Linked DNA regions of Styela clava. The protein of the gene in region 1 purifies or fractionates together with the protein of each later gene. This does not show direct contact. Links are inferred from orthologs where the notes say so. Each region holds a gene or a part of one and is shown in the gene's direction. Other genes may lie near its edges.

The links.
Region 2: the proteins of NCK-interacting protein with SH3 domain-like (region 1) and gem-associated protein 2-like purify together in Homo sapiens (co-immunoprecipitation; 3 studies listed by BioGRID and IntAct, counting the BioPlex papers as one, with this or other methods). This does not show direct contact. The link is inferred for Styela clava from reciprocal best matches to the Homo sapiens genes NCKIPSD and GEMIN2.

The regions. Positions count from the first base shown.
Region 1 is NC_135258.1:11,599,160-11,606,991, reverse strand, and holds the start of NCK-interacting protein with SH3 domain-like, read left to right. Parts: upstream 1-4,364; 5' UTR 4,365-4,698; coding exon 4,699-4,866; intron 4,867-5,081; coding exon 5,082-5,188; intron 5,189-5,580; coding exon 5,581-5,711; intron 5,712-6,075; coding exon 6,076-6,286; intron 6,287-7,037; coding exon 7,038-7,134; intron 7,135-7,759; coding exon 7,760-7,832. Other genes in the region: solute carrier family 35 member E3-like, read right to left, coding at 1,463-1,542, 1,958-2,161, 2,594-2,747, 2,945-3,055, 3,256-3,660. UniProt on the Homo sapiens protein: Has an important role in stress fiber formation induced by active diaphanous protein homolog 1 (DRF1). Induces microspike formation, in vivo. In vitro, stimulates N-WASP-induced ARP2/3 complex activation in the absence of CDC42.
Region 2 is NC_135258.1:19,319,888-19,328,306, forward strand, and holds the start of gem-associated protein 2-like, read left to right. Parts: upstream 1-4,819; 5' UTR 4,820-5,289; coding exon 5,290-5,462; intron 5,463-5,626; coding exon 5,627-5,720; intron 5,721-6,128; coding exon 6,129-6,302; intron 6,303-7,056; coding exon 7,057-7,165; intron 7,166-7,645; coding exon 7,646-7,782; intron 7,783-8,338; coding exon 8,339-8,419. Other genes in the region: uncharacterized protein LOC120339927, read right to left, coding at 2,392-2,495, 2,783-2,916, 3,385-3,568, 4,042-4,078. UniProt on the Homo sapiens protein: The SMN complex catalyzes the assembly of small nuclear ribonucleoproteins (snRNPs), the building blocks of the spliceosome, and thereby plays an important role in the splicing of cellular pre-mRNAs.

The DNA.
Region 1 (7,832 bases):
AACATATTAGTTTATGTTCCTATTTCTGCTCTTTACTTTCAAGTGTCTTGGTTTATGAAAGACAACTTAAACTGGAAAACATGGACGGATGGGACGATTTAGTGACAGTTGGGAAAACTGGCGTCAGCAGTAAACAACAAATTGTTCGGCAAAAATCTTTTTACCAAATGGAAGTACACATAAAGGCCTCTTACTGTGATTTTTTTCGACTCTCTGGTGTAAAGCTTTATACCCAAAAAATCCCGACAAAATCCCACTGCTACCGACATCACATTTTAACCGACATCAATGTAAACAAAGATGGCTGACCTCAAAATATGAAACATTTGGTGGCGCTAAATGGGCTCAAACGAGAGAGCGGGTACAGACGATTTCGGGACAATCGCGCTTTCTCTCTAGCTATTCTGGTTTGTACTATGGGGTGCAATAAAGTCAATGTCCCGAAAACGACCCCGTCGTCGTTAAGTGGTTAAGAATCACAGACCAGAAGAATATCGCAGTGGCAGTACAGACATGGATGCTACAAAAATATACTGCATATAAAATAGTGATGAAAAGTACGCTATGGCACGGCACGACAATACCCATTATAGAAGTTTTCATGAATAATATACTTCTTTACAAATTATTTGACACGGATAAGTCTAAGTAAGGCAGGGGTTCCTAAGATTTCCTCAGGACGACCCCAAAGACAACTTTCAAGTGTCCAGTGCGACCCCAGGTCAATATATATATTTTTCATGAAACTTGAGAGCTTTTTTCATTGGACTTTTGAGTTTGGTCAAGTGGTGGTATTAAGTAAAATAAGCTAAAACCCAACAGTGATGTCACAATAAACACCTACATTTTCAAGAACATATGCATAGAGTGATGCCCATGGGCCTATTTTACATTTAGCCATGGTACAAACTGCTAAATTCAACATGGTTTGTCAAATCTTAGATGAGTTGTACATCCATCCTCTACCATACCTCAGCGACCCCATGACCTGGTTGCGACCCTATCTATTTATCACTCCGACCCAATTTGGGGTCGCGACCCCTGGTTTGGGAACCCCTGGTCTAAGGCTTAAAAATATAAACATTTGCAACTCCATAGCAATACACTATCGATATAGTTGCCACTACAAAATACATTTGATTTAGATACACATAATATATAAGAAGTATTTTGTCTCAAAACATGTGTTACAGATCTTAATAATACTTCCCACTCAAATAGAAACAACTTGTAGTAAAAGCTTTCCTACAAACTGAGAGAAGACACAATGTTGTGGATACAAGGGATTCATATGTGGAAATGTGAATATTTTGTTATTGCTATGGAACAAATATGGAAAAAGGCAAAGGTAGGAATGTATCAAAAGGGTTTGTAACCACTTCCTGCAAAAGATATGAAAATTCATTGATTCAACATTTCCTAAAATAGACATAGCATAAATACGAACAAAATACAGATTGATTCAACATGGTTGGGTCAAGGGTTTTCGCTTTTCTAAAGCCGCATTGTCTTCCAGTTTGAAATGAGTATACAGGAAAATACCTGAAAAATAGTTTATATAATGAATATTATATGATTTCCCATTCACTGATATTATTTCACATTTAAACCGAAATTTGTGGATTGGAAAAGACTTTTTATTCAATGATATCATTTTATTGGACACTCGGACACTCATCATCATAAAAACATTCAGCTTTTGACAGGTTAACAGAAAAATGACAGTATGATCTAGTTGCACAAATATGCCAACTCTGTACTACAGTATCATGTAACTATCAATTTATTATCTGATGAACAATTTTTCTCAGTTTTTAAATTCCATGAAATACACTCCCCGGGTAACATTGTAAAATAATTCAAGTCAAAATTTAGTTGCATTGGGGTATTCGTATAGATTATTCGATACCAATCATTAAAACAAATGGCTTTACCTACTAGATGAATACACACATACCTGCCAATGTGATGAGAATACCAATGAATTGATTGAATTGTACAGGATCAAGAAATATAAAATATCCACCAAGAAGTGTGATACAAAACTTGAAGTGACCAAACATATTGTATGTGACAGGTGATGTATTTCCAATTATCCAATAAATAGTAAGATTTACAAGAAATGCAAAACCAGCAGTACCAGCAATAAGTCCCATAGCACCTGAAGATTGACCATTAAATGCATCAGTTTCAAACAACTTACCGGATATATTTACGGTAATTCTTTACAGGTAAATAATTTCAGGAGTGAATTAGGCAATACAATATAAAGATATGTTTCAGTTTGTTTGTATAAAAACAAATTTAACTATGAAATATTAAAAGTGCATGTATGATAATTTGTGCTAATTGAGACAAGATATTTTCATGAGTTATCTCAAATGTGTGATTTATTGAGTCATGAGTGCAAGGAGAAGTAACACCATTTGAAGAATATCAGCCAATCTCAGTTATATATCAAGTACATTTATAAAAAAAATTACTTATTGTTGAAAATGCAAGCCCACATATAACTTGGTTTATCATCATTATTAAGCCCATGGACATGCATGAACATCATCAAAACTTATATGATTGTCTAGGAAATTCTTACCTAATGTCCACTTTTCACCAAATATACCGCCTGGTGAAAAAACAGGTTCAAAAAATGGAATTATAACAAGTAACATGATTGAAGAAATTGGTGCTTGATAATATAACAATTGCATTGAATTTGCTTGAAGTTCTTTTTGCTTTGCACCAACCAACTGCAATACAAATGGAATTTTGAACAAAACCTTGCTTGAATATTGTATTATATATATTATACTGGTACTGAAAACTGCTACTTATATCACATATTTTCCTAGATTGGAAAATTGTTATTGATAAAGAAATCGATATCGATTTTCAAAATCAAAAATGGATTTTTGTGCATCATCTATTTCTATATTTTTATACTTACAATTTGATAGGCAGAGGTCACAAAAACACCGAGAATGGCAAAAACAGTGCCTTTAATATTGAACTTGATATCATAGTATGAATTCAAAAATACACCGAACATGATAGGTATCTGAAAAAAATTTGAAATCAGCATTGAAAACTTGCACACCTATTCAATACACTTTCTATAATACTTACCATTGTATCAATATACATATGCATACACACTAACATTTTTTTATGCTCATATTTATTTTATTATCTAAATTTGAACTTTCAATTATTTTGAACATATGCTAGAATAAATAAATATATCATAATAAAACTCACCAAAGTTAATTTAATTCTGAAGCTGAATTTTTTGCGATAGGCATACGACTGTATTGCAATAATTACCGGAGTTGTTAAGACTTTGAAAAGCTGGTAAGTCCCCACTGTGTTTGCTTGAAGTGAAAGATTAGTGAAGACAACAAATCCACAGAATGTTAAAGATAAAGGTAATAATTGAAGAAGAGGGAGGTGCTTCGGATTGAATACATTAAATGAATGACATACAACCAGGCCAAGAAATGTTGCTGCAAAATGTATGCATGTTAATGTCATATTTGGGAAATGCACCATGGTGTAAACCCATTTATTTAGAAAAACAATGCATATTGAGCAACATAAATTTAAGGTAAGTCCAAATCCAATCATGCTGTTGGATGTAGTTTGTTTGGTTTCCTTCGGTGCCATGATTCCTGCCTTTTAATCCTTTGATGATTTTATTCAATTTGAAATAACATCTACGCAGCAACGCAGGTATGAAAAATGTAAATTCCTCAATCCATGGACACAGTGATTTGAATAATTGCAACTAGCTTATTCAACTGTTTAATGCAGAAATGATTATAATTGAGATCTAAAAATTAATATAAAAGCCTCATGTCTGTATGTATAAAACACTGGGCTGGTTAGCAGTCCGCTTCATATGATAATACGACAAACAAATATATTATTTTCAACACCAAGGTGTTATATTAACCCATTGACATTGTTAACACTTTTCTTCATAGTACCATTACACATTTATAATTCAGTCTATAGACATCTATATTTGACCCACATGAATACTGTATAATACTGTAATATGTAATTTTTTTTTATCTTGACAATTTGCACAGACAATCATCGATTAGTCAGTTAGTGAAGCATGTTTCAGCTTCAAAAACTTTCCTCACTAAAAGATGTTCGTTACATGTAAAATATTAGAACATAAACGTGTTCAAACTTAATATTAGCAAGTTTCCACCTCTAGCGCCATAAAGTCGGAAACAGTAAAGCGACAAACGACCAGTAGCATGTCCAGTTTTACTTTGACATGCTATTATTCTAATCGGCAGTGTCTCAATGACTCCAACTAGTGGTAGAATCGCAACCGTACGGTACTGAGCTTCAGGTTCCATTTTCTGAGTATTAAATTTACAGATGTTTTATATACATAGATCTGTTTAAAATATGTACCCCTTCTTTGATTTCTAGAATCTACCATAAAAATAAAAATAACAGAGAAAAAAATCATTGGCGCCTCTGCCGGCCATTGTTTGCTTAACTAGAGTTTGGTTCGGAGAGAAAATAGTGAGTGATTGCCGAAACACAAATACAGCACTGTACTTGCGGTAGCCTACAGCAGTATCGAAATCAAATCGTAGCCACATCTGCAGTTTGTTTGAATTTGGCAAAGTACGGTATAGTAAGCTGTTATATCTGTATATAGATAAAAGCTACGTGGAAATGTATAAAGCAACGCATCCTTATGAAGCTCAGCAAGAGCACCTGCTTTCATTTTCAGTTGGTGACACCCTCTGCATTCTTGAGAAGAACAATGAATCTTGGTGGCTAGCTTCAAACAGCCTGGGAAAAGTTGGCTACATACCACGAACATATGTTACTAAGGAGAAGGTAAATGATTTTGTTAGATGCCATGCTGCAGAAATAGTAGTCTATATGCTTTCAAAGAAAGTGCATTCCATGTATTTTTGCTACCTATTACTAGTAGTAGGTACTACAGTACTACCAATTATACTATATCTATATCCCTGTATGGCATAAATCTTGTTTTTATAATATCCAGTACTTACAATTTTATGTCAAGAGAATTTTTTTTCACAATTAAGAATGACTCGTCAGATGTCGTTTTACGATCGGTTAACAATGCCATTGAAGAACTCATCGCTTCAGCTCCTGCTGGTATGCTCAAGCCACAACAGCAAGCTTTGCTCAAGTATATTAATTTTTATTTTTCTCATGAATTTGATAGTTTTCTCATGAATCTGAAGATTTTTACTCTGAATACATCATGGAGTCCAAAAATTGAAATGCAAAAATTGAGAGAGCAATCTGTTCAAGAGGCTAATTCTTTTCTAAAAGGAACGGCGAGCTTCTGAGTTCTAAACTAGATGTGAAAAGAGTTTCGAGGCATCAATGCTACTCTGAGAGCTTCATGTTTGGGGCAGTATTGTTATTTGATAAGTGGCATGCAGAATCTGGCAATTGATTAATACTTTTCTTTCATATGAATATCCACCTGTGATATACTTTTCTATTTATTACCTTGATTTTTTGGTTAATTTTTACTCTATGCTAATATATATAAACACTATGTTAATTTTTCAGAAAATTAATAGCCCACAAGGAAAGTTTGATTGCTAACATAAAGTCAAGATCATCATCAACAAAACGACGAGCTCCGCCACCACCCCCTCCACATGAACATGAAGTGAAAGTTTCTCCTGAGCCATCAGTCTGTGAGTTACTTTCTACTCGTATTTTTAAATTTTTGGAGCCTTTTTGGGTAGTTTTTCAATTGGTTCGATCTAAATGCATTTTTAATGATTTTTCCAGGTTGAACTAACTTATATTTTATTGTGTATATATTTTTCTGTGTCGAGTTGTCATGTAAACTGAACTTAAATTTCTCTCTCAGCAGCAATAAATAGAATCACGCTATGTTCAATGCCAAGATGCATATCGAAAAAGTCATTCCATGTGTTGGTGCCTATTCAAATTGATCAAAGGGAATCTGCTCTTTAAGTAGTTAGAAATAAAGCATGGCCTATTTAGGATTTCCAAAATATTGAAACATTTTTTTATATTTTGCATTTTCATCAGCTGAATCCACTTATTCCACTGCCAGTCCGAATGCATTGTCAAGTTTGCCTCCTGCTGTCCCACAAAGAAACACCAGTCTAACAAAACCTGAAGTAATGGAAAAGGAAAGTTTTTCACCTGCACCTTCAAGACATGATGTTCCTCAAGAATTAGGTTCAGAACTTCTGGGAATTTTGAAAACAACCTTAAACACAAATGAAAGCAAAAGTAGGTGAGAAGAGTTTGCTTTGGGAGCTATCGCTATTCAGACATAACATTTATTTACCTACAAAGCATGCATTTATATTATGTAAATCTACATGCTAGAATCTTTTTCCTACAGTGCATTGCCATGTTCAGATATTCCAAATTCCTTGAACAATACTCTAGTAAGTAATTATCTAGCTGATATTCTTGAATACTTCCTGCTTCTATTATTTTCATTGAAGGTTCTCTCTTTTGCAGTTAGTTTATGTATGTCAAATTACATTTTTGCTATTCTTTGGATGTATACTGATTTTGTTGCTTTGAGTGAACCTTTACAAGAATCTGAGGTTGAATTGTACATTTTCTTTTATCCTGTCCAGGCTTGTTTTGTTTGAACTTATATCAAGTTCCAGACAATTCTATCTTGACAGCTGGCCATACAGGATACAGCATACCTACTTTCTCTCATAAGATTATTTCTCCTAGCATCACTGCTATCAGAATGAAGAACCGATTTTAATAACTTGAGCAAAAGAGGGTATGGTCTGCTTAAACCTGATTAGTTTTGCATAATACTAAAGTCATGTGATACCTAATGGTATATAATCCCTACCATCCCTACTTGGATTACTCAAAATGATCAGCATTATGAGCATGTGATGTATTCATGAGTTTGATATAGTACTGTTTTGCATATAGTTCAAGCCTATAAACCATAGGGTAGTCTGCTATTGTGCAATTTACTAATTTTACCTGTTTTATATATTTTTATGCAGGGCTGCGTTAAGTGCTGTATTACTCGCAATGAAATCCGGTATTCCTAGTTTGGGATCTACATTAGATGAAATTATGGAAACTATACCTAAGGAAAATGTGTGTATTGTATGTTCTTATCATTGTCAATTATCAACTCAGTTTGGGGAATTTTTTTTTACAGACTGTGGTGTGGAGCATATAAATGGAATATTATAGGAAGTGGTTCTAGGAAAATTCGCCGCAAAAAATTTCGCTGTAGGAAATCTCCCTGCAGAAAATTTCGCCACAAGCAAAATTGTAGCATGAGCATTTTGCTGTAAAATAAGTACTTGTGATAAAAACAGTTGCGGGCCTGTTTGTCTGCGCTAATGTTTATCGCCCTCTAGCGGGTGCCCCACTCTCCAGGCCAGTTTTTGAAGTATCTTTTTATTTAAAAAAGATTCGTTATTTAGGAGCATACCCTAACCCTATAAACTTACCAACTGTTTTTATCACAAATACTTGTTTTACAGCAAAATGCTCTTGCAGCGATTTTTTATGCTATCACAAATACTTGTTTACTATGCCGAAATTTCCTGCGGCGAATTTTTCAGGACACGTTAGGAAGTCCATGATAATATAGTTTTACTTTCCTATCTCAATCGAATAGAATTACAGACTTGCTTTCAACTCAAGAGGCTTAATCAGTTTTCCATCATTTTAATAAATATATTTCAGTTTTAAAATATCTCAATTTTTTTAGGTTGATGAAGAATGTGATAAACTTGGCCTTGCATTGGCAAATCTACAAGAAATAAAAGATGACGCGCAACAAA
Region 2 (8,419 bases), about 7.7 Mb from region 1:
TTCATTCGGTTTTCAATTCTTATGAATTAATTGAGAGTAACATACTTTGAATATATATATATTCCAATTTCAAATACCTTTCAATAGATTTAGATTATTGAAAATTTGCGGTTAGCATCCCTTTTTCAAATAATAGATTTCGTTATTATTAAAATGCTTTCTAAAAGTAGATTCGAGCGAGTCATGCTTTTATTCATATACAATGCCGTCAAATAGAACGGTGAAATAATGAGCTCGTTTAAACAAAAATTGTATCCAAAAGCGTTATTTTTTCAAAAAAGCCCTGAGATGGCATAAACTTAAAAATGCGTTTTTTCATCCCGACATGGGACAAATATATAGACCAACTAGGTCACAACGCGCTTATTCTGCCCGACATTGGACAGATATATAGGCCAACTAGGTCGCAATGCGCTTATTCTGCCCGACATGGGACACACATATAGACCAAATCGTAACAAATCGGTCGACAAAATCGTAACAATGAGATAATGCGAGCATAGGTATTTTAGCGTAGCGAAGTACATTGAATTGAAAATATGTTTTAACCGTACAAAACCAAAGTTTTGAAATAAAAATACGCCATCCTTCTGTAATTCTACTTTAAAACTTTTACCCTTTTCTATAACCTCTTCTTCTATTTCAATGTCTCGTCTCATTTTAGATCATATACATGTAAATGTTTTTTTTACTTATATCATTAATTTTAGCATTGTGTATAGTATTTTTCTGAATATTTTCACTTTATCAGGGTGCCAAATCTTTTAAACTTCCAGTTAGTAAGATGGGGAGATAATTTATCAATAACCCTCATGAGTTCACCCTAATTTCAGAGTTTTACCCCCATTTACTATTAAAAATATGAAAACAAAGTTAATTTTTCTCAAAATTCAAACAAGTATTTTTGTGGAAATCAAATCACTATATAATGACGTTTTCTTTAACTATGGGAATTCAAATTTTATTTAAATTTTTAATCTTATTGTGTTCAACTCGCGATTACGTCCCCCATAAAAAGAACATTACCTAATACATAATAAAGCGACACCAAAAAAATGAAAATTACCATACTCGCCTGATAAGACGACCCCTCAACATCAGGTCAAAAATTTGAGTCTAGAAAAGCGACTTATTTGCCGGGAAATACGGTAGATGTTAATTTGATTCGCTTCGAAGTTCTGAAACTTACATTCCTGCTCTTGTGTCGTTTCCCCTAGATCGGTTCTACTCAACTATTTTTACTTCAAGATACAAAACTTCAAAATTTGCGGAGTCCAGACTTTTTAGAAAATTTATTTTACAGTAAGCCTGAAAACTGCCTTTAACTTCGAGGTCAGTGAGTTAACGAAAAAGCAATTCATGTTAAATTGAGTAACCGCAAAATATATATATGAAGACATCTTTGAAAATAGTAGTTCCCCGGCTGGTGATTATTCGCTAACCTGGTCAGTTTATTATGGCATCACAGTTTTCCTCGTATATAGTTTGGTGCAAGTATGAGAAATGATGAAACTAACTCTAAAACTATAAATAAAAGGTATTTAATAAAAGAAAACTTCCGCATATCCAACTTTCATGGCGCCAATACTCCAAAAGAAAGAAGCAAGTGCGGTCCGAAACAAATATTCAAAGGATCCGGATCTGGACCGCGGTCCACCAGTTGAGTAGCCCTGCCCTAGTAGATATTAAATAGCCTATCACGACCTGGAGCATAAAATTTCTTTGAACTGAACTTTAAGTACCATACAACTCTTATCACACACACGATTTTGTTTTGAAATAATGAAACCCGACAGAGAAATTATCACCAACACGCGCTATATTTTCTGTCCGGTCGGTAAGCAAATACACAAGTTGTTAGTTCATAAATTTTCTGTTAAAGAGCCTTGCTCGAATATAAGTTCCACCTCAGAGCTTCACTCTCAATTTCAAGAAACCTCATCTTTTTTGGGAATAGAATGGCTATAATTATCTTCACCTACCGGGTTTAACTTAAGCTCTTGTGTATATAAATGTTCAACATTCTTCGAAAAATTATTTTGAAAATAAAAAACAATATTTATTTCCCGCAGCTTGAGTTTTTTTCGTGTGTGCCAAGGAACGCTGATAGTATCAGGTATATGAATAACAAACGCATAAATAGACTTTTAGCCTAATTGTTGACAATGTATAGTTCTCCGCATCTAGCAATATGCATCAGCCTTGAGGAAATGAATAATAAACTATGGCCTATCAATCGTTAAAATATATAATGTTTGTTATTGTTCTTCACACTTCCTACCAGTTGTAATTGCTTTGTTTTTGAAGGATGCTTATAGAAGTTAAATACCCATCAACGTACCAATTACTATTGATACAACAGCTCCCGCAACTCTCCGAAGCAGACTTTTGTCACCCACCGAAATGATGATTGGTCTCGGTCGGGCTGTCACTTGTTGATGTCAAAAATTCATCCCGGGTGTGAAGCGACTGCAATTCCAAGTTGTTGGCGAATTCTGGCACGAACAAAGAAATCGTCAAATTACACATAAAGAGCGTTTGATAAGTATTGCTCTCACAATTTTGAATGAGAAATGTCCGCAAATGTTGACAACAAATTTAATTCAAAAATTTTTCAGTGAGGGTATGAATGTACTTGTCCATTTCAAACATTAAATAATGACGAAAATGTGATGTAATGAATTTCGTTACAATTTTGAAACTAACTGCATTCATTGTTGGGATATGGTAATGCATCTATGAAGTCTTGCCATGTTATGTAAAAAGAGTATTTTATTCGAACCTGATATTGTTCGATTTCCTCTTCTAATTCGTTCATACCAAACTGGAACAGACAAAACACAATAAACGAAGCAAACAGATGCCAATATGAATAACATAACAGCCACAGCACTGATTGCGATAACAATATCGCTCCTGTGAAAAAAAGTATGAATATCAGTCTGAAGTAAAGTTGACTGTAATTAGTCTAAAATATATCATTATCCAAATGTACATTATATAACTCGCAAAGTTAGGTAACGAGTTAAGATTAAAAAAAATACATCAGTTTGTTTTTAAATGAATCACACCAATCAGGTATGTTCTAAATCTAAACAAATATTTTTTTAAATTATTTCAGAGTGTGTCATTAACGTTTACGTTTTCGAATATTCAGAGCCAAATGTCATCTAATATTTATTCTGGGTTTTCTTTACACGCTTGTGGTGTAAATTGCAAATTTGCTTACCAAATTCATAATTAGGTTAGATTCGATTTTGATTATGCCATTGACCATCGAATCTGATTTATGGGTTCTCTGAAACCAATCAGGAATACTTGTGAAGAATTTGATTTAGTTAAACGGCCCAATTCTTCGAAACAGTTCAGAATATTAGCACTCACGAAACCAAGTCCTTTCTTTTGCAACAATAATAGTAAGATATCGATTCTGAAGTGGACGAGGAACAACATTTCATCGTATTCTTTTCACATTTAACCTCGACCATGTAACCAAACTCGTCAACGTATGGACAGACTAAGTGATCATCATATTCAAGTATGCCATCAGTAGAATATTCGAAATAACCTAAAAGAGGACGAATTGACGCAACTCAATAAAGAAAATGCCAGCTAGCTTGCTTTGAATATCGATGACGAATTTTAATTGATTTAATAGTGGAAATTGTTTCATGCATACAATTTGAAATACTTCTACTTAATCTAAGATTAAGTGTTTCAAACGTGTCTATTACAATTGACTTTCTGAAGGCTTTTCTGCCAAAGAAATTAAAAACAAACTTTCGAAATTCAGTACTGAAAAGCAACATGTAAATATTTACACAGCAACAAACCTGGAAAATTCCACCTCAATCATCAAGAAAACTCAAAGATTTTGGTGGTTGGAGTATTGTACACGTCAGCTTTTTAATTTCTAAGTTTCAATCAATATTTGTGGACTTTTTGGTAAATCTCTTTGTTATCAGAAACTTTGCTGCGCAGAAAAATGTGTTTTTTCTAGCCTTGGTTTTCATATGCAAAATACTCTATAAAAATACTGACCGCTGCCCTCCAATATAAAGTTTTCAGTGCCCTCCATGACTGTTGCTGTTTATTCATCATCTCACAGAGTAATGGATGCAAAAGTAAGACAACTTCCATTTAAAAGCAAATTGAAATTTGATGTTAATATCAGGCTGCGGGTTTGTTATTTGTGTTCCATTTACGGTTACACGTGTTTTGGAGAGTGCCTATCTAAATTTGGCGGTATGTTTACACTAACCTCTCGTAGAACGACAACATTGGTATGATAACATGCTTTATTTGTTTTTCGTTTGTATGATTTCTACAGCAAATGTTCGTTATACACGATTAATGGGTAAAATATGAACTCGGGGCAGCATATAACAATTTTTGAATCGCACTAAGCTACATAATGTGTTCAGCTTGCAAATTGTGAGCAAATTTGCAACGTTTCAAGTGCATTATAAATAGCGTAGTCGATTCACAGCAACGACGGCATTAAATCTGCCTATTCTGTATTTATTTATTATTCAAGTATTTCATTCCTATATATATGCTTCTACATTCCTTTTTATCCATTCCGGACATTGTCGCGAAAACTTTCACCTGGTACGTGCGACAAGCAAATTAATTCAGGCAATGATATATAGGATTTACATATAGGAGGATAGGATTTACATATTTATCTCGGGGGAGAGGAAAGCCGATAAGCCGGCTTATCTATATGGCGAACCACGGCCTCTCGTCCGGTTACCATTCCAAGTCGGGTATGGGAATAGTTATATTGTTTTGTTTTCGTAAGCATGGACTTGGTGGTGGAGGAAGCCGTAACCGACCAGCGGTTACGTGAACCACCCAACGACGGCGAGGAGTCCAGCAATCCTCTCGCACATAACCATCTCTGCATGGGATTCGAACCTGCGAACCCACTCAGAGTAATTAGAGGTGCGGTGGCGAGCGTATTCCTAACGCTTAGCCCGTTGAGCCACACCGCCGCGCAAAAAAGACCAAATGTAAGAAAAAAATGGACGTCGTGATTCACTGCAAAATAAATATGATATCTTGGAGGATATTATTTGCATTGAAACTATTTATCGTGATATCTCATTTGCTGCTCCTTGACCTTCAACATCAATGCTTCATCATTCCCCCAAGTTTGTCAAACCATTGGTCAAAGTTATTGTGCGGTGTTGTCTTGCAGGCTTCGTACTGTCGTATATGCTACTCGTTCTCGAGTTTCATCTTTTTTGAAACTTTCTGCCATTATTCACGGAATATAGTTGCTCGATGGCATCTCTGATAAGCGTTACAGGCGAAAGTTTGCACGAAGAAGAAATTGATGACGCTGTCCCTGGAGCAACACCTTTCTTCAAAGTTGATTTTGATGAAATCGAAAATGGAGAAATTGTATCAATGGTCAAACTTCCTAGCAATCCCCAAGAATATTTAAGAGGGGTTATGTGAGTTTTTAGCGTTTTGTGACCATTGGGCTATTATGCAGCCATGTTCTACTTTAATGTGTATATTATTTCAATATTTTTAATATTATTACACTTTTAATATTATTTAGAAAGTAAAAATATAATTCCATTGTATGGCTTTTGCTAAATTCATTGTTTTACAGGCAACAAGCCAGGAATACACCAAATGTTGTTGTTGCAAAAATAGATCCAAGTAAAATTAAACCAAAACTGAAGCCAGCGATACCTTCAAAATATGTAAGTTCCTCAACCATGATTTATTATAATTTGTTATAATTAAACCATGTCCAGAATTTTTTTAATTCTTAATTAGTAAATTTGAAAGAATTTTTTTGCATTGGCCAAATGATATTGCAGTTGTAATTGTTAATGTTAGACTTATTGAAATGTCAGTAGGGCACACTTTACAGATCGAGCGACATTGTCTCGTTCCAGAGAATCCCATTTTGTCGATGAACATACAGCCTTCCCTTCGGGGACGTCTGGACATTGTTGTCCCTCAAAATCTGTAAAAATACATTAAAATGAAGTTGCATAATGAAATAAGAAGCGCATTCATGTGTTTATGAGATGGTTTAGGGATTTTTTCAATGTTTATCCACCTGTCTTTTTATGGTTTTTACGATTTTTTCAATTGTTACCCAGCTAAGTGAACAAGTAACTGAAGTAAGATCTGATTTGATCCCAAGTAAAGAATGGCAGGAACAACAATTAGTAGATTTCGCAACAACAAGGGAAGAATATATCAGACATCTTGCCAAATTGAAATCTATCAGTCGTCAAACAAAAAAGAGGCCAAAACTGCCAATTTATCCATTGGTGAGAAAACATTGTTTGTAAAATTTCATTATACATTTAATATACTATACTAAAGTGTCACACTTTATTAGCCAAACTTATGCCTTGTTTGATGATTTTACTTGGTATCAATTTTAAGTTTAGATTCATTTAAAGAAAATCTGACCATTTGAATAACTGTTTGATGTATAGTGGACAAAATGTCGTGACTTCGCTATCCTACTTACTGATTTTTCATATCTGGTAAAACGATGTTGGTGACTTGGGCACAGCTGCAATCAATGTTTACTCAACTCTTCAAAAAAAAAAACCATTGGTTGTTTTATTTGTCTCTCAACCACAAATTTTCACTCAGAATATTTCTCAACTGAATGGTTTTGATCTCAGTCTGGAGCGTACTTGATAATATGTCGTGCATTGTTCATCATATTATATAGATCTTGCATGGGCAAACTACGGCCCGCGGGCTAAATCTGGCTCGCTGGGTAATTCAATCTGGCTTGCCTGAAACTGAAATTTCATGATAAGTTAAAAATAGCTCAAGGAATTTGTTGAGATTGCGTTCAAATTGAGTTTTGACACAATGATTATTGTTTTCCACTTTTACTTTTGTAACACTGTAAATATTGTTCATAAAATGTAACTTTAAGTCACACTTACATGGCCCACCAGTCAAGGTGGGCACAATTTTTGGCCCCCGGTCCAAAAACCTTGCCCACTCCTGATGTAGATCATTATATATTTTATTTTCTGTATTATTATTTGATATATTCAGCCTCCTTGGGAAGATGAAGAAAGCTGGAAATTTCTGTGTTTTGGAAGAAATCTAAAACGAAAGAAACAGGAAACTGATGAAGACAATAATGAGACCACGTTATCTCAAGGTCTTTTTTTCATATAATCGGCCTATAATACAATATGATTGTTAACTCTGAGATATAAATAAGATTTCACATTTTTTCGAGAAAGAGAAAGTCAATAAGACAGACACCTTAATCTGATAGCAAATCACCATCTTTTATTTGATTTTAAGTCTGAGCCAGGTATAGGAATAGGTAACCAACTCCCAGATGCATGAATGGAACTCACCTATGTTTTGCATTACGCTACCCGCAATGAGAACAATCCTTTCATTAAGATCACCCAATAAAAGATTTGAACATGTGGAGTTTATTCAGAATGATCGTATGCAGTCCCATTATTCAAATAGTTGTCACACCTTCATTCAATTTAATTAGTCTTTCAAATGTATTTGGCACTAATTGTATATTTTTCAGTTTTTAGAATGAATCTGTTAAGGATTCTAGTAGGCCACTTATTTTCTAATTTTCCTGGTTTATATTTTGCTATTTATAAACCCACAGGTGCTCATACAAAAGAGTCAGATGAAGATGACAATCTACAGAATGCCTTAATTGCTGGAGGACGAACAACTGCTGATATACTTGCTGATCAAATTAATAGCGAAGAAGATAGGACAGTTGATTTATCCACTCTTGAGGTTGGTTTAAACATCATTCATATTGGGGATTATAGGCCACAACTGAACCCAGTGTTGGTTGATAGTGGTGCATTAGATTTATGGATTAGTGATTAGTCATGCTTCCAGCACAGCTTGCTCATTTTAAATGATTTTCACCTTTTTGCTCTTAAATTAGTTTGAAAAACGAACTATTCAACTTTTCAAAATCCAGAGTTTGAGTTATGTGTAACACTAGCTAAGTATTATTTAAAGATTGAACAATAATTTGGAAAAGGTTGGACTTGGGGGCCACTGATCAGGATTACTAAGTTTTCAATAGCAAAAATTTTTGGTTTTCACCCTACTGTAATTCTCATTTTGTATACTAGTATACATTGACTTATGATATTGGCTGAAGTTTTATTTTATTGATTAATTCAAGAAATGTAACCCATGTATATCTCACCTAAGGGTGCTTTCAATTGGGTTGTCATTTTGAGTCAAGAAGTGTGATTCTCATTTTACTCCATATTTACTTACAGTATTTTAAAGACTAAAATCAATGCACATATTTTTTTTATTGTGGGCTCCATAGGAAGGATTCCCACCAATGATGAGAATACTTCTACGAATGGATTCTAATCAAGTTGAAGCAAATCTGGAGTACCATACACGA